Oreochromis niloticus: one gene and its partners. The main gene of each other region encodes a partner of the protein of the gene in region 2 in a complex. Links are inferred from orthologs where the notes say so. Each region holds a gene or a part of one and is shown on either strand. Other genes may lie near its edges.

Region 1 (7,440 bases), about 5.4 Mb from region 2:
ACTGTATGCAAAGCTGCAATGACTTAACCAAATAAAATTACTTTATTTTGGAGTTACTGGGCAAATAACAGGAATTCTATTTATGTGCACACCTGACTGACTTTTGTTTAATTAGAGAATGTCTCAGATTTAACTAGTAAAAGCTTAGATTTCCAAAAACGAACCATGCACCTGCAGGAAATGTCACACTTCTGTCCAATATAACATGTTGTAAACATACCAGCAGTGTTTTTTCAACTGAATCAACTGAATTTGTTTACAATACAGTATGTTAGATTCAAACATAGAAAATAGTTACTTTAAGCATCCAAGATCAAGCCATTTTCATAAAGTAAGTCAAACATTTCCCCATGAATCTATCCATTCTTACAACAAATCTAAAGGTTATTTAGAATCACTGTGTATCGTGTGTATCCGGTGTGTCTTGAATCTTTTTTTAAGGGTGTTCAGAAGTTCCTCATAACAATACTGACCTGTTGTCTTTCCAACTTCTTGGCAAGTTTCTTTAAAACGTCTGGGTTGTCCACTTGAATGTGTTCTGGGAGCCTCTTCACCACTGAAAATGCAAAGAGTGTTAATATTCTGACGAGCCAAAAAATTAAGACAAACTTGAATTACATTCTGCTGATCCTTTGGGGAGATGCTAAATAGCTTTGAGGCCTGTACTGCGAAGCAGGATTTTATCTTATCCAGGTAATTACACGGTTAACCGTGGACTTTCTCTACTACAATTTGTTCACTTCTTACCAGCCACGATAAGGATATATCGCCATGGTAACTTGCACTACAAAGCAGGTTATGCTCCACATTCGAGATCAACACACATGTAAAACTGCCTAATAACCAATCAATCCTCTAGAAAATAGCACCACCATTCCTGGAAGATCCCTCAGACCTCAATGTGTAGATATAGTAATAGTAGTAGTAGTATAACAGTGTAATGTTTTTTAGTAATAAATCCGTAATAAATATAGATTCTCAGAAACACCTTTTTTCTTGATTTTCTGCTCCCTGTTTTTGCCTGTTAATCTGAAAACAAAACACATACATTCAAATTCTGTGTTTATATTTATTCTTTACTCTTTACCCATGTGTTAATGAAAGAGCTCTCATATTGATAAGTCTGTTAACTTTGCAGAGCTGGTATTTTTGCCAGTTTTCTTCCCAGGCTTCGTCTTGTCTTACTGGTCAAAGCACTTAAAGCTTACACTTTTAATATATTATTACACTACAGTCATTTTTCTCTCTCACACACTCATATTGCTGGTTTGTCTGCAGCAACTGTGTTGCTTTCAGTCTTTATTACGTGTTTAACGTCTTCATATTTTCCCATATTTCAGTACAGTTTCACCTTCCTTGGTAAAATCAGTCGCTCTACTGCTGATTCACTTATTACCATTGCCACCAGTATCATGTGAACGCGCAAGGGAAAACCAACATAGTGTGTTGATAACCAGCTTCATGTGAGTGCTTATTCTGACTGTCAATGTTAAGAGAAAGATACTCAGGGTATGTTGAATTTGCTTCATGAACAGGCCTTTGGCCTTTACATTTAACACTTCACTGGTACCGGCATATTGTTGGTTGAAGTTACCACCAATCAGTCTTGTTTCAGCATATTTCGCTGAAGCCAATCATTAGACCAAAGTTTGGCCCTACAACAATCACTAATCACTGTTAGTCGGTATTTATCACAGCCAACTAGGAGCCCTCCACAGCCATGCAGCTTCTGTGTTGGCACAAACAGCTTCTCAAGGTTCTATAGGTAGCTGTCTGTTGTTCCTACTTGATTTGGCTCAACAGTGCATGCAGTTTTTCAAGTTAGATTATCCAAAAGATGTCTGTCATCGTAGGTGCAACAGCAGTACCTGGCTGCAGATCACTGGGCGGAGCTTTTGGTTTGCTAGTAGTCGCCTGCTGTCCTGTCTCTCCCTTCTTGTTCTGTTTGCTGGCCCTCTCAGCCTCTTGCCGAGCTCTCCTCTCAGCTTTCAGCTCCGCTTTAGTCTTTGCCGGTTTGTCCGCAGGCCCAGAAGCCTCTGAGGCAGGCACAGAAACGGGTGCTGTAGCAGGCACTGCTGAAGGAGCTGACAAAGACCAAAACGGACACAGATATCAGGGTAAAGAATGAATCACACTGTACACCCAGATACAACACTTGCTGCTGCCTAAATGGGAGGCACCTTTCTGCATTGTGGGTTTTGTCGGAGGCTGGGATGCTGGAGCTGCTGAAGTGACCGGCTTCTTCTCCTTCTCATTTTCCTGTGATGCCTTGTCATCTTTTTTCTCTTTGCTTTTCTTCTGCTGTTTCTTCTCTTTCCTCAGCCGTTGCTTCTCCTCCTTGGTTAGGTCTTTGCCTTCACTCTGTCACGTGACAGGAAGAGGCGTCAAGAAAAACCTAATTATTAAGGAAAGCATTTATGCACACAAAAGGCTGTAATAAATGTCAAGAAAACACCTAGACTAACCTTTGCGCGTTCAATTTCATCTTTCCTCCCGGGTCCATCTGTAACACAAGCAACAGAGGATGATAAGAATAGATTATTTATCATTATAACGTACTTCTGTTACTTTTCCCACAAGAGGCGGTGATACTAAGGTCGAGTCTGTTAGCTGCTTTTAGTTTGCACCATGTCAGCGAAACCAGTAATAAAACTAGTGTAGTGCATCATCGTCACAGCACAGTGACAACGAGAAACATGCGTATTGTATATTTTAAAACTACTCGAAAAGATGATGCAATACATTCTCCGTGTCTACGGCATGAGTACCGTTTACATGCTCTCGACGCTAACGTTAGCAGGTCTAGCATCTGGGAAATTAACTTTGCTACCAGCTAATAACAAAGTCTACATAATAAGCGCTGTGAGTATGAGATACTTCTTCGTAACTCCTACAACTAAAGAATAAGAACCAAAAGGAAAAACCAAATGAACTACAGCTATTTACACACTCTGAAACCCACCTATCACTCCACTGTCAGCCATGTTTACGATGCTGCTTCACTTCCTCATCTGCTGTAGAAACTACTGCCATAGAAACGTATATCGCCCCCTGGTGGATGACGTTGTATGAGTATGTAGTGCGGTCCATTTTCCAAATAGTATTAAGGCTTAATGGGTGTTATTAAGGCTTAATGGGTGTTATTAAGGCTCACTCAGTGACATACTGTTATTTATTTTATGTTTACATTTGATTCTTAAGGCAGGACTTGCTACATCAACTTGTAGACTCTTTGAAAAAAATCTAAAACTATCAAACTTCCTACATCATTCAGTAGCCTACTGTGAAAAAGTCTTGAGCATTCCTTTATTTCTTTAAACAAAAAACCTTCTGAGTATTATACATATGAACATTAAAAGGGGAAATAAATAAATAGTGTTTTGTATATACTGTTTTGGTTACTGCACATAGAATTAAGTATTGCACAGTGACTGCACAGTAGAGGGAATCACTGTGCAATACATAGAGGGAATATTGAATATTGAATTGAATATTGGAATATTGATCTGGTCAGTTAAGCAGCAGAGGGGGTTGTTGATCAGTTTTATCTGTTTTGGTGTGAATAAATTCACAACAGGTGCACTAGAGAGAAAACAATGAGACACCCCCCCAGTAATTATTTTACAGATGGAGGCCACTAACCTTTTTTCCAATTCTGGCATTAAAATGTCACATTGCCAGAAGGCTTGATGTGTCTCCCTGCACAGTATCAACAGCAAGGAAGAGATTCCAAGAGACAGGCAGTTACTCTAGGAGAACTGGACGAGGCCGTGGAAGGTCCTTATCCCACCAGCAGAACTGGTATCTGCTCCTTTGTCTAACAAGGAACATGAAACTACAAACTACAACTGGACTGATTAGGAATGTTATTTTGGTGACTTTGCTGTAATGATAAGGGCAAAGGTTCATAATGAAAATCCATCCATCCATCCATCCATCCATCCATCCATCCATCCATCCATCCATCCATCCATCCATCCATCCAGCCGTCCATCCATCCATCCATCGGGTAGGTGGTATGTAAACTCTGGACAGATCGCCCGTCTATTCCGCTGATGTTAATTATCAGTTTACTGTTTATATTATGACTCAGTGCATTACAACTTCAGCATCCTGGCTTTTGGTCAGTGATTTCAATAACAGCAGCAGATTTTTGCTGGTTTTGACAAAAAGTTTGAAGTGAAAAAGTTGGTAATGGATGTGCAGCGCTGTTCTTTGTATGCTTATTTGCATCCCCGTTACATCTGCATGCTTAGAGGAAGTTTATTTTCATGGAGACATCTGGAGTGTCATTTTTGTGTGTATATTATCCTCCATCACAAAAAAGACTGAAGACAGATTTTATTGTACCACATTATAGGAAATTTGGATCAGGTTTCCACCCAGGCTGTATTTATAAAAAATGTTTAAACACACATGAAATATAAGTGAAACAAGAACAAAAATACACAGACACAAGCATATGTCCTATTTATAGACCTATACAGTAAAGTGTAAAATCCATGTAAACACTAAAAGAAAAAAGATCTGTCATTTTTTACTGATGCATCCCTATCTCATCATTTAAAACTGACCTTGAAGTTGGGATAAAAGAGATTTATTCTAGCTCTAGTCCCAGGCACAGTGATATTTTAAACCTCAGAGTGGTACTCGGTGTGTAGCTCATATAGCGCAGGGTTATTAGATTGTTGGCTTGCCTCTGCACAGCCTGTTTGTAAATAGTCTGCAGGCATGAGTACACTCCACACCCACACACAGAAGGCAAGCTAACTAGAAACAGCATATTACTGTATATATACATCATGAGTGCTATCCATGGTACTGAATTCTCTGGCCTAGACTGTAATATTAGCTTTTCCCATCTATGCTACAGTGTCTATCCCTGCACTGCTACACCTGCACTCTTTTTCTGTTTAAATAATTTACTAAGTTATACTTTGCTGCCATTTTAGGCCCTATATTTATATCATCTCATACTGGGTCAGAGTCTATTCTGCAGAATAAGGTGAACTCAGCTGCTAGACTTAATGTATCTTTGTGTCTTTCCTCAAGTACAGAATGGACTGAACGTGAATCAGAAGAACAGGAATTGAACACTGTACATCATCAGTGATCTTTTATTTGGTTTCTAGTCACATATTACCATGAACAATCAATATAGAGCTCCTAAAGAAGATTCACGTTGCATCTGTGCTGTATAATCTATTCTATTCACCATCTCCAGATTAAGCAGCGCTACACCACAACGTCACTGCGTGTTTGACTCCCAGCCGGTGTGTGCTGACTGAATTCACGGCGCAGTAGCTGGTTGAAGGGGACCAAACCTCACAGAAACACCTGACTTGGTTCCGTTTGACCAGCCACAGCAAGGCGTGTTGCTTCAGCTGCAAGAGGCAGAGCAAGAGGGAGAGCAGGAGGGGAGGGGCAGTCAAGAGGAAAGGTTACAGGGGTAAAGGTCACGGAAAAAGAGGGACACGAGAAAGATGAAATACAGTAGGAGATGGACATCATCTGCAGGCAGTCAGGGCTGCTGAGTCCTCTTCAGTCTTACCTGATGGAACACACAGAGAGAGAAAAGGAGAAGTTACAGCACAGGAACAAGTGCCTCCGTGTTACCAAGCAAATAGTTCCTATTTAGAGGCTTGAGAACTCTGATAGCCGGTGACATCTCTCCGTTTCCTTCCAAATCCAGCCCACGGCAGCGAACTTTCACCCCCAGTGACAGCTCCTGCATCTCTGCCCTTCCCTCCCCTCTTCCCTTTTTGAGAGCTCTGCGGTTGCTATAATGGGTGACAGCTGTGCTCTGTCAATCCTCCTTGACTGTCAGCAGTTGGGGCAGGGCAGGAATTTTTCAAGAAGTCCCTGAGACCCGATCAGCGGCCCTGGGAGTAATGCTAACTGCACACGTGCCTGAGCTGAAGGAGAGGGAACAGGCCTTTCACCTGTTGTCCTGCCACACACACACACACACACACACATGTTCATGAACTCTGACACCCCCTAACACACACACACACACACACACACACACACACACACACACAACACACACACACACACAAAGTAGACAGACACCCTCACACAATTTTCTGAATGAAGACAAATGAAAGAACAATATGAGAAATGTCCACGTCGATGCTCAGGTCCCCTTGAAACCACACACTTCCTTACATTCCATAAGTGGCGTATTAATATGGGGATATAAGGAAGCATGTGCTCACAAGGGACAACAACTGGATTCGCTGCTCCTCGAGACACAAAGCACCCTTTCATAGCCACGCGTGAAGAGTAGCGGGAAGAACCGGCTTAACAGCGGTTAACTGTGACAGAGTGAGTGAGTGAGTGAGTGAGTGAGTGAGTGAGTGAAGGAAAAATGGAGCGAAAGAGGCAGAGAATGGTGGCTTCTCTCATCTCCATGAAACTAGAAGCGAGGAAGAGGAAATTCTTCTTTCTTTTCATTTGTATGGGTTAAACCTGACCATTGTTTTATCAGACAAGTAAAAAGTGAATTTTCTGATACTGACAGATGACTGGACTGGTCATACTGGGAGATACTTGATGGGTAATGCCAGTGTGATGATGCTGAAATGAGTTTAAATAACTCAGGCGGGTGAGGCAAATACCGACTCCCATCAAACAAAGGTCATCGTCCTTTTTTTATTTCCCAAACATCGTGCCATGCCAAGTCAACGTGATGCCGACAGTTGTGTCAAGTGATCCTTAAAAGCGGAAAAAATTCAATTCATTTTAATCACAACCCCTTATTAAAATAGCTTGAGCTGATTTTTAAAAAATGCGCTTTACTCACCTTCCTCTGGTCTCCTTGCGCCTCCTCTTGTGGTTTTCTCACGGTGAGTAAATGGGGTTAAGATGAAGGCCACGGTCCGCCTCTCCTTCACAAGTGGTGACTTCCTCGATAAATCTAAACACTTCTGAACCAAATGGCCACCAGAAAGTCTGTCTCGTCTACTGTAATTAGACTAGGATGACTCCTCTGAGAGGCACCAGATTTCCTGATTCTTTCCTGCATCACACCTCAGCTTCCCCTCACCTGACACAAGTGGCTGCCATGTTGTGCTGTGTCTTCAGTAAAAGTGAGAGAAAGCTGGTTTGATACCAGATTTTTACTCGTATTGTGCTGCAGTTAAGCTGAAACCACACAAGCACAGCAACCCGAAGATTTTGTTGCCTGACATGTGTCTCTTCCTGCGCTGTGAACTAAAGTTTTAGAAGGAGAAATCACAAGAGTGATTCAAAAACAGACAAAACTCTGACCAACCTTACTCCTCATCCCTGAAGTTGTCCTCTGCCTTTTATCCACCCTTTAAAGCCAAGCTCATGAAACTAACCCTCTGCTTTCTGAGAACCACTCCCCGGCTTCACCCTCAGCTCTCCTGTGATCACCCATCCTCCTCTGTATCTGGTCAGTGGATTGTGCCC
Region 2 (6,961 bases):
GCACAAGAAGGGTCTGAAATGGTGCATTAAAAAGCAGCCTGAGCTTCAGGAATTACCCATACATATGGTGACCTCATTAGAGCAGGTCCCCGTTAATTATTCCAAATTAGATATTCTGTGTGTCATGTGAGACTGTCCTGATATTAAACTGGTGAATGCTATAACTTAATGTAAGTTATTGATCATATTACTAACCACAGTCCACCTGACGTCACAGAATAACACTTCAATTCAAAAAAAGGAAATGTGGACCACACAAAAAGATCTCATTTCATATGGTTTTTATTCCACCAGCACTTTGGCACTGCAGATCCGACACGCCACCAGTTTCAACTATATTAGTCTACACTCACCCTTCTCTTTGTCTACTCGGATGACGACCACGCACTCGTTGCGGCCTATGCGGATGAGCTTGTTGATGGAGCGGATACGTCGACGCGACAGCTCGCTCAGGAGGATCATGCCCTCAATGTTGTTGTACTCCAAAAGGCTGACGTAGGCGCCCATCTCAGCGATGGACCTCACGTTCACCATCACGACATCCTCCACCTCTGGGAACCGGTGCTGGTAAAATCGACAGCTGAGCCCCGGCATTGCTGTGAGGTCAGAAACAGTTAAGAAGACAGGGGGAGGTTAACGTCTGCAAGTCATGGCACAAATCTTCACTTTGCAGTTTTAAACACTGTGAAAAGTACTGCTCGCCCTGTAACTTGGTGTTTCAGTACTAATAAATACAATTTTTTTTCTAGTTAATAAAAAATGGTCAATAACTTGTAACTAGCATCTCTGCCTCCACTGCTTCAGTTTTCACCAAAGGTTGTTTAAAAAGAAGTCCCACAACTAAACACAATCAAAGCTCAACATTAAATTAGCAGAGAACCATGTATAAATTATTTCATTCTGGTTTTCTTTGTCTTTTTTAATCTCAATTATAGTAATTTGTGAATAATCTGTCACACCATCCCTCTGACAATCCTCCTTTTAGATGTAGTGAAAGAGACATGCAGAGCATGTGACAGAGCAGATGCTAGAAACAGAATGAGAGGGTCTAGTGTGGTGACCCCTAAAGGGAGCAGGACCCATGATCCATTCATGCTTGTGCACGGTCTATTACGTGTTAATTACTTAATGGTTGTGAATCAGTGTTTTATATGTGGGGTCAGCCACAAATTATAGAGGCATTATTATTCTCTCACTAATAAAATACAAACTATGCTGTGAAAAAGTAGTCAGAAATACACAAGAGGACTCAAAAATACAGAACAATCATAATAGTTGTGGGCTGCATCCACACAATGTCTAATTACACGTCAGGTTACAACATAGGCTTTCAACACAGAAGCACAAATCCCCTGTTACCAGGGCACATCACCATGTTAACTTCTAGATTAGCTTGTATGAAATCACTGCCTAATGACCAAACAAACTCTCCTTGAAACAGCGTCATCATTCCATTCAAGATCTCCTGGACTGGTATGCAGCAGCTGTGCTGCTTTCAGCCTGTATTATGTGTATGACCACTTCATATTCTTCTAATATCATAGTTTTCTCCTCTGTAAAATCAACGTCCCTGTTGGCAGTAGGCTTATCCAGGTTTATGACTGATTGGATGCAGCCAATGCCAACTCTCTTATGTAAGCGCACTTGTAGCTAGATTGAGATGACAAATATGGGGACAGACTTACTATTCCCCAAATCTTTTGCTTTCAACATCCTGTTGTCCCTGTAACCTGAGGACAGCAGCCTACCCCCTGGAGTGTTTGACCCTTAGATCCTATCACCTTTGTTTTCCCATTCTTTGATCTCAACACTCCTGATTTAAGACTCTAGATATTGTATCTTGTGCCTCTGTTTAACATTTACATATAAATCATCCTCTAGTGATAGTCGTCTCCTCCCTTCCTCTTGTGTAAACCACTACGAATGCCATGCCTCTTTGGTGGGTCAGAGTCGGCTCATCTTCCAGGACCCACTATCTGGGCTGGTATATGGCTAGTCCATTTCTTTGAGAGTTGATAAACTGTGTGTTAACTTATTGTGATGATAACCACCTTGATGTGATATCATGGGTATGCAGGCCACAGACAGGCAACTGGGACACAATGTCAGCAACCACAAGTACTCTGAGTTTGAAAAATGCTGCAGTCAGCCAATTAACATCAATCCCTTTCTACATCAGAGTATTTTAACTATACACTGCAGTGCCTGTTCATGAAGTATATTCAGCTACCAGTAAAGACATCCGTTTATGGAAGAACACTGTAATGAAAAGTATCATTTTTTCTATTTTACTCAGATTTTAAAATATTAGTTGCGGTCATTTTTAGAGGCTTTAACCTGTAAAAAGACTTTGGCCATAAAGATGTTTTCTTTCTAATCCTTAGTCTACTATCAAGAAAGGTGTGGACAAAATAGTAGAGAGATACCTTTAATATTAAACGAAAAGTCCCAGTCCGTTTGAATGGAGCCACTTATCTGTGTTTCTATGTTTTCCCACTGAACAAAAGTCAAAGCCCAGGTTTAGCTTATATACAAATATCCAGGACATAAAATAAAAGCAGGGAAATGAAACAAACTTCTGCCATTTGTCTTTTTCCCCTGTTGCTGTGAATGGACTGATGTAACGCATCATCATCGCAGAAAAATCACTTACTGTTTAAAATAGAGAATCGGCGACAAAATATGGACACAAAAAGCTGCTTACCAAATATTTAGTACGTGTTACCAGCGACTGTATGACTTCCTAGTTATCACATTTAAAACCACGAGAAGAATGTTCATTCAAGCGCAGAAACGCTTTCTTTCAACATCAGTTAGCTTCCCAGCTAATAACCCGGTGCCCAGCTCACATGCGGCACACGCAGGCTAAGCTGTTAGCCGGCTATCTGCCAGTTCCGATCGTTCCCCAGTCCCCGCCAAACGACATCTTCATAAAACAAACTCACCTGTGTCATAAGGTTACAGAACGACGCGCCTGAATGTTCCGTGCTGACTTTGTTTAAATGTCAGATTCGGTTTTCTTTCTGGTGTTTTGTTTTTTTTAATGAGTAACTCAGGCCCGCTAGCTCACATTCATGGGTGTGCTAATTTGTCGACCCGGAAAAGATCGTAGGGACCTTCCACACGCGCGCATGTGCGGAACGAGATTGGTTCTTTGGTCACATGACGCGGAGGGCCAGCTGATCATCGCCGACAAGATCACGACCGTCAACTCGATCTGCTCTTCTAATCCTACACGAAGAGCGAGATTTTAGCTGTTATATGTCTAGATTAATAATTCAGGATTCAAGCTAAAGTTGTAGTGTTGATTTAGGGAAGCGGGAGTGAACTGAAAATCGCAGTAATCGACAAAAAACGGAAAGATGTCTGGAAAAGACAGGATCGACATATTCCCCTCCAGAATGTAAGCAGCTTGTGCGATGGCTAGTTGCTAAAGCAATGTAGCTTCCTTAAAGCTCATATACCACTGTTTTGTTGACATATTTGCTTTTATATATGAAAGTTGTGGATAATTTTCTGCATGCATTTGAAAAGCAGGGATCGCCGTTTTGTTTTGTGCCAAGGTTACCGTTTAAAAGAGGAAGAATCCTTCTGCTGTCATGTGATATTTCTCACATTATCCAAGTGTGAGCTGTCAGTCGGAGCGACTTCATTTTAACCTAATTTCACCTGCATCCAGTTATATTAGATTTACGACCACTGAAACAGTATAACACAGAGGTTTGACCCTTTCATCAGCTCCTGGGTGCAAATATCAGTGAGCTGTGTATGTAGAGGAGTGGTGCAGATTGTGTTGATCCTTACCTTGTTTTAAAAATAACGCTATTACACAAATTACAGCATGTAACACCTTCTGTCCGTAGACTCTTGGTTCAGATAAGATCTCCTCCCGAAAAAAAATTCTGAAAATTCTGAAAATTTCTAAAATTCTGAAATGGTAAAAAACAGAAGAAATCTCAGGAAAATCAATGGGATCTCTCTTCCAGGATGGGAAGGGATTCAGCATAGAGCAACGTAGTAAATTTATATTAGAGACGATCAGGATGACATCGTTAACAATCTAACATGTAACAATCTGTGAGTAATGTGACACAAAAGTGGGCTTGAATGTTGATGGCTGTATGTTTTCGGCTGCTCCCTTATTCACAAAGAGGGCTCCACAGAGGATGGATCCCCATATTTATCTGGTCTTAATCCAGGGATCTCTAACCTTTACACTATGGAGCCATGTTAAATTCCAGCGCAGGCCTAAGGCAGCCTTATTGCATATGAGTCACCTGCTCAAGTCTGGAAAGAGCTGGGGAAAGATTGTGATTTGGAAATTTTTATTTAGCCTTTATTTAAATTGAAAGTTATCAGTCATGATAATTTAAATGAAAAGTCAATGAGCAGTCAATAACAAGTGAGTTACAACTACTTAGCTATTTAGCAGATAAAATTCAACTTGTCAGGAGCTCATTGTAAGGTCTCCCACCAGAACTACAACACATGGACTTATGCATTAGCTAGATGAAAGAGAAGAACAGATACTACTACTTATTCATTTTTTAAGGTAAGCCAGCAAATGGCCAGTTGAATTAGAACCCAGGCCTCCACACTATAGCCCTATAATATACAGGTTTGCCTGCTAAAACCAGTGAACCACACTGGTGCTCCAGAACAAACTACTACTCTTGACAATTAGCATTTAGTAGCCTGATAGAAGAGGGAACAGAGGAGTTTCAGTAGTGGTTTTTTTGTCTTCATGGGTGCATGATAGCCCTGCCCTGAGGGCATTGAAATAAACTCACTAGAGAGAATGTGGCCACCTTGACTAATAAGACCCTTTTCTTTCTGAACTACACATTTCTTTGGACTTGGTACTCTTGGAGTATACGTCTTTAATAATGTTTTTAAGGCTGTTCCTGTCCTTCAGAGATGACCCATTGAACCAGTATATGACATAAAATGATGAAATGTGGAAAATTAGAAGCAAATCCATTAAAAAAAAAAAAAAAGAGCTTTAACAAGCATAGAGGTCGAGAGAGAAAAGAGGAAAATCTGAAATGCCGGTTAAAAAAAAAAAAACTGGGGTGAGGGTATCAACTACCAGGGAAGAGAGACAGAGACCTTGGGATGGCCTAAGGTCTGAGTGAAAACATGACAAGGAGATGAAATGAATGAAACTTGGTTGTGTCATTTTACCCCTAATTTAACTGTCTGATTCAAATAGAGTGTTAAAAATATGTGGGTTTCTCTGGATTTGCAGGGCTCAGACCATCATGAAGGCTCGGCTGAAGGGAGCACAGACCGGCCGCAACCTGCTCAAGAAGAAGTCCGATGCCCTCTCCATGCGCTTCCGTCAGATCCTTCGCAAAATTATTGAAGTCAGTTTAACATGAGCCTTCATTTTTGGTCCTAATACAGTCTGAAAGAACAGATGATGCGATAAATACTTTATTCATACATCATGCATTTTGGTTGGAGGCTGTAGCTCATGATAATGGTCAATTAATCTGATACTAAGAGGTGTTTCTATAGTAATTAATTGGGTACCTTCATTGTTATGAACCAACAAATTACAGCCAGTCTGAATCAAAACCTCATGAAATAAAATCTTCATGAAGGCTTTCAGCTGCGTGTTTCCCAAAGGTGTGTTTATACTTTTAGACTAAAACCAAGATGGGAGAGGTGATGAGGGAGGCTGCCTTCTCATTGGCTGAAGCTAAATTTGCTGCAGGAGACTTCAGGTAAGAATGAGAATAACGTGTCAGCGACGTGATGTTGTGTTCTGGTGCAGAAACACAAACAACTTCCATCTGTTGTTTTTGTCTACAGCACAACTGTAATCCAGAATGTTAACAAAGCCCAGGTGAAGGTCAGAGCCAAGAAAGACAATGTGGCAGGTTAGCATCAAAAATATCTTCTCATTTTTAATCATTTTTTGTTTTGTTTTGTTTAAAATATCTGCTGCTTTTCTTCTTTTAGGTGTCACCCTTCCAGTATTCGAACACTACCAAGAAGGCGGAGACAGTAAGTCCAGTTACATGTCTGAGTTTGGTGTAACTCTACATTGGGTTTGAAGGGAATCGCAGAGAGCGCTCTTCCTCACCCCACGATGTGTTTGTGTCTGTCAGGTTATGAGCTCACCGGTTTGGCGAGAGGAGGAGAGCAGCTCTCGAGGTTGAAGAGGAACTATGCCAGAGCTGTGGAGCTGCTTGTGGAGTTGGCCTCCTTACAGGTAGGAGGCGCTGTTACATATTAAAAGCATGCTTTATAGTTAGGGTGATGGTATTATCATTGAAAAAAGCACAATGTAACGTCACTCAATGAAACTAAAATTGTATTGATGATCTCACATGTAACTGTGCATAATGTGAGTGTATAATCAAAGGCTCACATCCTAAATGACCAAAACAACTCATGAAGACAAAGGGGTAGCGTCTCCCGCTATGGTTTGTGTATTCCTGCTGTGTGGCATATCACTATAACATTTCCACAAAGGATACATTCATTACACTGAGTTTGTGTGGATTACAGATGCAGATGAAATGTAATCTATACTCTAGAAAAGCTGAAGTTTAAGTGTTAAAAATTGCTCAATTTTGGTTTGCAGACATCTTTTGTCACTCTGGATGAAGCCATAAAGATCACCAACCGCCGTGTGAACGCCATCGAGCACGGTAAACACACTTAACATTCAACTGCAGCCTTTTAAATAAAATAAGGGTTGGTGCAGCTAAAATAATTTTGAATCCGCTTTGCAGTGATTATTCCCAGGATTGATCGCACCCTCACCTACATCATCACAGAGCTGGATGAGAGGGAGCGAGAGGAGTTTTACAGGTGACGATGTTTTCTGTCTGCCTTGTGAAGGTTTTAGTGCATAAACCTATAAAAAACTTATCAGGAGGCATCTTTTGCATGTTTATTAGATATTCTTGTTCCAGCTGGCTGTCCACAGCTCCGAATTCATTCTGTC
Region 3 (7,632 bases), on a different chromosome or scaffold from region 2:
AAGAAGCAATAGCCAGCATTTTGACACTGATTTGAATTAGATTCAATTGAAGAGCATCTGAGTTTTTACTGGAACACACCTTATTGATGATCCCACCACTCTCCACAACTCCCTCAGCACCAACGATGACTAGATCCACTTTTTCCAAGACGTATCTGTAAAGAATGACAAAAAATACAAAACTAATGCAAATGACATTGACAAGAGACATGACATTAAAATCAGATATTATTAACATCTGTATCCACCCCACAGCTGCATCCAGCACGACCGTTACTGGAACATTGAGTTTCCTCAGGGCTTCTGCCATGTGTTGCCTGAATAAAAAAAAGAACATAAATAAGCCTGTGTCGTTTCAGAGTAAGACTAGAATACAGTATATAGACTGCTCCCTCACCCAGCTGCGTCAGGCTGCGATTCAGTCACATAGACAGAGAATCGTTTCTTCTCAGCTGCAGCTTTTTCCAGCACCCTGAGGACAACTCTGGAGTAGGAGTGAGTCAGGATTTTCTGAGAGAGACAAGGAGAGGCCAGGGAGAAGGAAAAAAAAAATGCATCACTGAACCTTTTCCCTGTAAAGAGCAAGAATTAGGTTGTGTTCCGTACTTACAGCGCCATCTTTAATAAAGGTGTGACAGAGCTTGGCGACCTTGGTCCTTGACATGGAGATCTTCTCTAAAAATAGTTCTCCTCTCTCCTCCATCACCTTCTTACAGCGAGACAGGTCCTGAAAAAAATAAATGTTAGCATCTGCCTTGGATTAAGATAACAGGTCTGATCATGCAAACATACGGTGCAGCCTCTTTAAATCTAGCCAATCTCCATAGCAGTTCCAGCAAAACTGCTATTTCTAAGTTCCTCCTAATGTGCTTTCTTCTAAAATCTTGCACTTTTGCATCTACAATGTGTGCTAGAACTAATTTGATTTAAATTTCTTTTTGGGAAGGAGAATGATGTTCCAAAATTGACAATGTGACATTTGGACAATGTGTGTAACATTTGGAAGCCATTTCTTTGAATTCGGAATATAGAGTCAGAGAAGATCTCAAAGCAACTTACACAGGCCATCCCTAGTCAGCAAAAAACAAGCACATCACAAAGATCGCAAGAAAGTTGCAAACTGCTGAAAGTTTGGTCAAATGAAACTAAGAACAACCTGCAGTAGAAAGGAGAGAACAAAGCACAGAAGCTTTGGAATGTCTTATAATCTGAGACAAATAACAGCCTCAATAAAACATGGTGGAAGCAGCAAATGGGAGGGGTGTGCTTGGCTTCCAGTGTTCCAAGGTCACTAATTTTTATAAGTGATGTGAAAAACAGACAGAGCTGAATGCATACTGAGGTGTGCAGAGCTATCATGTCTGCTTACAGCAAAAAAAACCAGTCATATCCAGCAAAGTCCCACAATGATCCAAAATACACTCTAAAAGTAGCGCTGGAGTTTTTGATGGTCAGGAAATGGAATATCCTGAAGCTGTTGGGTCAATCACGTTGTCTTAACCTGATCAAACTGTGTTTCACTCACTGAAGACAAAACAAAATACAGAACCATAAACAAACAGTAACTAAAGACAGATGCAGTAATGGCCTGGCAAACGTCATGAAGGACGAAATACATTCTTTGGTGATGTCTGTAAGTTCCAGGCTTCAACCAGCCATCAGCTGCAGAAGAGTACGAAAAATAATCACAACTATTTTCCAATTGTGACACCTCCACCTAACAGTTTTTTCTTTACTTTGATGATATTTGTTCTCCTATATGAACCATAACTTTGCTGTAGAACTGCAGTGTCTCTTTTAATAAAGTTCTTTCGAGAACAGTAGCACTTGCACAGCATCCATAAGGTCTGACTCGATAACATACAACAGATCTGGTAGCACTCTGATGATTTCACTCAAGTTATTCACGCTTAATTTTGTTCAATGTTTAAATCTCCAACGCCAAACTGTCTTCACTCACCTGGTGCTCCAGAGATGTGAGGCTTATGAAGCGCAAGAAGAGCTCCCCTCCCGAGGAAACGGCCACAGAGGAGTCCACTCCTGTCAGGCAGTCTGTGGCTGACGTAAGGCTCTCCCTCAGCCCCAGGATTGTTTCGCCTGAAGGGGAAGAGACAGCTTTGTAGTTCCTAGTAGTTCCTTACAGTGCTCTTTCAAATCTGTGAAATCTTTATTTTATTTATGGTAGAAAAAAATAATAATTCTTTTTAAAACTGGATCTCCAAAAGTTGAATCTGTTCATCTGGACGTAGCGTTTTGTGGGAGAAACGTTTCGTCACTCATCCAAGTGACTTCTTCAGTCTCAGCTGACTGCAGGTTTCCCCAAATCTTATAAACAGTACATTTGCTGTTTATAAGATTTAAAACTGGACTTGACATCTGGGCTTCAGTAGCTTCAGTAACTTTTTAAAGCACTGTTTCAGATATTTGAAACACTCTAGATGCTGTTTTCAGATCTTGGCCCACATAATTATCCCAGAGAAACTACAAAAAAAACTATTTACAAATTGAGAAAACACAAAAAGGCTAAATTTCAGGTCTTCTTCTCCACATCCAAGCGAGAATAAGAAAAAGCCGAGACGTGTCTGTATTAACACCAAGGGCATAACACTAACCTTTATCTCTCTTGAGGAATTCAAGCAAAGTGCGGATGGCAGCAACAGCAGAGGCCATGTCCGGGTCTTTCCTCATCTGATCCCTGAAATACTCCACCAGCTCTGTCCCAAGGCACAGAGATATGCAGTTAATATTTCTAACACAAAAAAGCAGAAATTTATTTTTAAAATCAAGCAATTTACCTTCGTTGTTCATCCTGAAAGCAACAACAGCGCCTAAAAGCAAACCACAGAAGATTTCTACAGGTTTCAGTCAGTGCACTCTTTCTGACACATGCCAGAGCGGCTGACTCCGCTCACTATCTCCTTCTTTCAAACGAAAATATTCACAGCGCTCGAAATATTGTTTTAAGTCAGCCCCACTCTGAATGTAAGCAAAAACCTACTGAACACTGTCTAAAAGTTGCTCCTGTCACTATTTCCAACTTACACACCATTAGCTCATCCTGCAAAAGGCAGGTTGACGTGTCGCAGAGTAATGACGTAGGACAAAAACGTCTCCCAGACGCCGTGCCGTTCACGTGAAGTTGGAAATGTGATTTTTTCTTTTCTTCTTTTTTCTTTCATTCGTTTATTTGTTTCTTTGTTTTCTGTTTTTGTTTGTTTGTTTTTATAAACCACAACAAATGGCAAAGTGACCGTAGTGGCAAGATTCAAAATGATGCAAATAGCTCATATTGTAACCTCAAAAGGAAAGAAAATAACAGCAAAGATTGTAAAATAGTAACATAGTAATGCAGAATCTCCACAAAGTGAATGAAATGACCATAAATCAACAACAGAGAGATAGAAATTTCTATTAAAACATATAAATCCTAAAGAGATTCACTTACCTATAACGGGAGACAACCAGACCATATGAGAGTCAGAGACAAAACAACTGGTGAGAAACCATTTGAACTTTGTATTGGTATCAGATCCATCCATGTTCATGAACAGTAAAGCACAGACATCTAATAAGTAAGTTGCTTATTCCATTCTGTAATGTAACTGAAAGGAAATATAAGTGTTTCTTATTCTAGTGTCCTCTGGGCATAGTGGGCATGAAGAGGTACAAGAGCATAAAACAAAGTTTATTATGAAATATGTCTTCATACCAGCAGTTATAATATAATAACATTTACACATTAATTAACATTTACAATAATTATGTACCTTAATAGAACTACACTGCAATATTACGGGTCATTTATGAAATTAAGTATACTGCTTACACAGGGTGAAGTGTCAACACATACTTTCGATATTGTTCTATAATTCAACTTCCAGTTAATCTTGATACGTTTCACAGCCTCAAATATAGCTAAATAGCTCCCAAACCTTTAACCTGTACCACAGTATATGAACTAAAAATGTAAACACCGATACACATAACAAAATACATATTTTAAAATGTTAATGAATTAAATTAAACTTGATAATTAATGTCAGTAATGATTTTTAGTGGGCTCACTTGGCTTTAATGGCTTATAAGCACATGAAGGCAAAGCCAAAGATTAAATGGTAAAAGTTGAAGAAGGAAGAATGTTATACAGAGTTTGGGGAGGAGTTGAAGTATGTGAAGGAAGAGACTATTAAAGAAAAAGTGGAATAGTCAGGGAAATGAAAAACACAGACAGGAGTACTGGGAGGCTAGGTGTATGGCAAAAAGAGAGGTGTCAAAGCCAAAGGCTAAAAGCTCATTGTGTGTCATGTGTGAGGCTGGACACTAACAGCCTCACAATGAGCTAAGGATAAGGGAACTTGTGAGGATAAGGGAATTTGTGAGAGAGACTGAGCTGGAAAGGATGTGCAGCAGTGATTTGTCACATAGAAGGAAAGATGTGCTAACAAGTGATGAGAGTATGGTGAGAAGATAAATAAGATTAGTTTGAGGAGCTGATGAAAGAAGAAAATAATAGAGAATGTGAAGGATGGGGGAATGATATCAGGAAGTCCAGAGGATTAGTAAGGAGGACATGAGGACAGCTATGGAGAGAATGAAGAGTGAAAAGGCAGTTTGTTTAGATCTAATGCAAAAAATCAGAAGTTTTAAACATCTTCACAATGGGCAGTGCACAAGAGAGGTGACAAAAAGAGTGGCGACATAGTTGAAGATTCACCCTTGTTGGGTGTGATTAGGAGGGGCAGGATTAGAAATGAGAACATCGGAGGGACAGCTCAGGAGTTTGGAGACAAAGTTCAAGAGGAAAGCCTGGGATGGTTTGGAAGTGTGTAAATGAGGCATAATGGATATATTGGACAAAGAATGTTAAATATGGAGCCACCAGGCAGGAGTATTAGGGAAAGATCACACAGAGGTTTTTTTCAATGTAGTGAAAGAAGACATGCTGAGGCCTGGTGTGAGTGGAGAGGATGCCAGGGATAGGATGTGATAGAGGTAGGCAATACACTTTAATGACTTCTAAAATGAAAATAGAAGAAGACTTGTTTTTGCTGTTAGTATTATTATTATTATAAAACTTAACAAACTGAAAAAAAAAAGTTTGATAGTAAGTCTTTGTCCATTTCTTCAGGCCAAGCCCTTCTGCAGTTTTGAATTACAACTGCAGAGGGCCACATGGTTCTTTTCTAACAACCACCAACTTTGTCATTAATTATAGTTTTTCTTCAGTTGCTTTGGCACAATTCTCACACCAGAAACACCATTCTCACTTCTTAATGCAGTTCTAAAATCAGTAACACGTTTCCCCTGCCACACTAGCGTTTTTATCACCACACGTTTTTATCTCAGTGTTTTTATACACACTGCTATTGTTTCTACACATACTAGACTACATACACTTCTAGAGATATTTGTTATGGTGTTGATGCACTTCTCACAATGACATTTTAAAATTCATGAAAACAGTTTATATGTTTCTTAGTCAGAACCTTAGATCTGTCCCTTTCCTGAATACTGTCCAGCACTGCATTAGTGTTTTCAATCAAGTTACTTCAAACTGTTTTCAAATATGTTAAAATGAGCAAATCCAGTCACACACTCTTGGTGTTAGCAGTGAAAATGTATTTTGGGTGGAAGCGCATTCTCAGAAGTTTAGTTGAAAGAGATAGAAATACATACAGTCCTGTGTGAAGGCACTGCTAATTACATGCATGCATACTATATGCCCAACGGCCACTTTGTAAGATGCAACATATAAAATCTCAGCTTGGACTGCCTTTTGCCTTGAGAACTGCTTTAATTTTGTGTGTTATAGACTCAACAAAGTGCTGGAAACATTCATCAGCAATTTGAGTTTCCTGTTCTTAGCTGACAGGAGTTGCACCTGGTGTGGTCTTCTGCTGTTGTAGCCCATCTGCATCAAGATCTGATGTGTTGTGCATTCATAGATGCTGTTCTGCATGTCTTGTTTGTAACACAAGTCCTCGAGTGAGTTATTTTTGCCTTCATTTCAAAATATCCAGGCCATTCTCCTCTTGCAATAAGGTATTTTCACCCAGAGAAATGTCGCTCACTGGATAGTTTCTCTTTCTCAGACCACTCTCTGTAAACCCCGGGTATGGTTATGTCAGTAGGTACCAGTAGGTAGTAGGTTCTCAAATACTTTCCAAAGTGTGTAAGGTTTTAATGAAGATAAAAGCCATTTAAATGTTACAAAAAGTGGTGAAAGTGTTTTTATTCATTCATCACAGAGTTGAAGTGATTGTCTGACTTTGCGGGTTCTGACAAATGTGAAAAACGTTTTGATTGTTTTAGTGTCTTTTGCACAGGTGAGCTTTGAACTGCATGAAAAGTGGTGAGGACAGTGGAGGAAGGTATTCACAATGACAACAAACAGCCGAAACTAAGAAGAAAGAGTCAAAATGACCCCAAAGAAATAAAGTGAGGACAAACAGTTTGAAAAACATGCAAAATGAGCACCAAGAGGCACTGAAGTGTCACACAATAAACAAAATAACAAGAAAGAAGCAAAAATTGGAGAAAAATTACCAGAAAAAACTTAAATAAAGATAACTGAAGGGAAACAAAGAAACAAGAAGTGAGGAAAAAAAATTTTAAATGACAATAAAATAACAAAAAGCGAACAAAAACTGAAAGTGAAAACAAAGAAAGACTGAATAAAAAGATTCAAAATTACGACAAAGGAGAGTCAAAAATTGTCAGAGTAAAAAATAAAAAATGTAAAGGCAGAAGGGGACACTGAAAAGTCAAAAAGGGGACATAATATGCACAAAAGACACAATAAAAGCAATACAATACACATTATATACATTATGAGGGCATACAAAACAAGGCCAAGGAGGCACTAAATAAGAAACACTGAATAAGAAACAGAAAAGTGACATCAAAGATATGCAAAACAAGTCCAAATAGACTCCACAGAGGCACAATACAACTATAAAGAGATTTAAAATCTGTGACAGAAAGAGATGAAACCAAGGACAGAACAGGAGACACAAAATGACAATATCAGGCAAGAAGAAAAGAACACAAAGCTCCTGAGACATGCTCAAAATGACTGACGGATGCAAGACAAGGCCAAAATACACATAATGACTAAAGACATGTCAGATGTTTGAAGGAGACGCAAAGTGACAAATAGAGACACGGGACAGAAGCTGCCAGAATGAAAGTGGTGTAATTTTGCTGTTGTTTTTCAGTCTTGTGTTAAGACGTGGGGGACATTTATACTCTTACTCGAGGCCAGTCTATTCAAAGTATCAAAAAACAATAATGAATCAAACAGAGTAAAAATATGAATCATCTTCTTCGTCTTTTCCTCGCACACTCTCTAGTTTTAGCGTTAAGTTTTCTGGCTGGACTGAAGTACAGAACATCAGGCAGCTTGCAGCCTCTTTGTTCTCCTCCTGGCTCAGCAGGGAGACGGCTCTTCTGAGTGCAGCTGCAGCCTTCCGCCCCCCCCTCCTCTCGCTGCTCTATCAACCCGCGCAGGCGCAATTGGCTCCTCTGTGCGCTCTACTGTTTGCATTGTGTCTGAGCTGCCGGCGAGCTTTAAAAATATTATACCCACCGCGGCAATGTCGGGCAGGTCGGTCCGAGCTGAAACCCGGAGCA

Evidence for each region.
Region 1: the proteins of eif2s1b (region 2) and eif2b4 are in contact, whole or in part, in a cryo-EM structure (PDB 6O81), measured with the Homo sapiens proteins. The link is inferred for Oreochromis niloticus from reciprocal best matches to the Homo sapiens genes EIF2S1 and EIF2B4. Residues at the interface, in NP_004085.1 of Homo sapiens: Met30, Tyr33, Met45, Arg55, Arg57, Arg75, Glu79, Lys80, Tyr82; in NP_001029288.1 of Homo sapiens: Asn245, Glu246, Glu247, Arg250, Thr285, Ser520, Ser521, Asp522.
Region 3: the proteins of eif2s1b (region 2) and eif2b1 are in contact, whole or in part, in a cryo-EM structure (PDB 6K72), measured with the Homo sapiens proteins. The link is inferred for Oreochromis niloticus from reciprocal best matches to the Homo sapiens genes EIF2S1 and EIF2B1. Residues at the interface, in NP_004085.1 of Homo sapiens: Ala28, Glu29, Met30, Tyr33, Gly44, Met45, Leu47, Leu48, Arg75, Lys80, Tyr82, Ile83, Asp84, Arg88; in NP_001405.1 of Homo sapiens: Gly39, Thr41, Ile42, Gln43, Gly44, Leu45, Arg46, Ala47, Asn48, Glu70, Arg74, Ser77, Ser80, Leu81, Glu82, Tyr83, Ser84, Asp85, Tyr86, Cys89, Leu305.

Annotation. Positions count from the first base shown.
Region 1 is NC_031980.2:8,799,894-8,807,333, forward strand, and holds the start of eif2b4 (translation initiation factor eIF2B subunit delta), read right to left. Parts: upstream 3,081-7,440; 5' UTR 2,985-3,080; coding exon 2,963-2,984; intron 2,504-2,962; coding exon 2,466-2,503; intron 2,362-2,465; coding exon 2,181-2,361; intron 2,085-2,180; coding exon 1,869-2,084; intron 557-1,868; coding exon 474-556; intron 1-473. UniProt on the Homo sapiens protein: Acts as a component of the translation initiation factor 2B (eIF2B) complex, which catalyzes the exchange of GDP for GTP on eukaryotic initiation factor 2 (eIF2) gamma subunit.
Region 2 is NC_031980.2:14,224,300-14,231,260, forward strand, and holds the start of eif2s1b (eukaryotic translation initiation factor 2 subunit 1b), read right to left. Parts: upstream 3,106-6,961; 5' UTR 2,946-3,105; intron 2,836-2,945; exon of another isoform or gene 2,705-2,835; intron 597-2,704; 5' UTR 595-596; coding exon 354-594; intron 1-353. Other genes in the region: atp6v1d (V-type proton ATPase subunit D), read left to right, coding at 3,363-3,403, 5,249-5,366, 5,650-5,729, 5,818-5,885, 5,968-6,012, 6,117-6,220, 6,596-6,662, 6,747-6,825. UniProt on the Homo sapiens protein: Member of the eIF2 complex that functions in the early steps of protein synthesis by forming a ternary complex with GTP and initiator tRNA. This complex binds to a 40S ribosomal subunit, followed by mRNA binding to form a 43S pre-initiation complex (43S PIC).
Region 3 is NC_031972.2:11,331,989-11,339,620, forward strand, and holds the start of eif2b1 (translation initiation factor eIF2B subunit alpha), read right to left. Parts: upstream 3,108-7,632; 5' UTR 2,809-3,107; coding exon 2,796-2,808; intron 2,715-2,795; coding exon 2,613-2,714; intron 2,098-2,612; coding exon 1,961-2,097; intron 728-1,960; coding exon 611-727; intron 511-610; coding exon 398-510; intron 318-397; coding exon 249-317; intron 156-248; coding exon 80-155; intron 1-79. Other genes in the region: bcl7a (B-cell CLL/lymphoma 7 protein family member A), read left to right, coding at 7,596-7,632.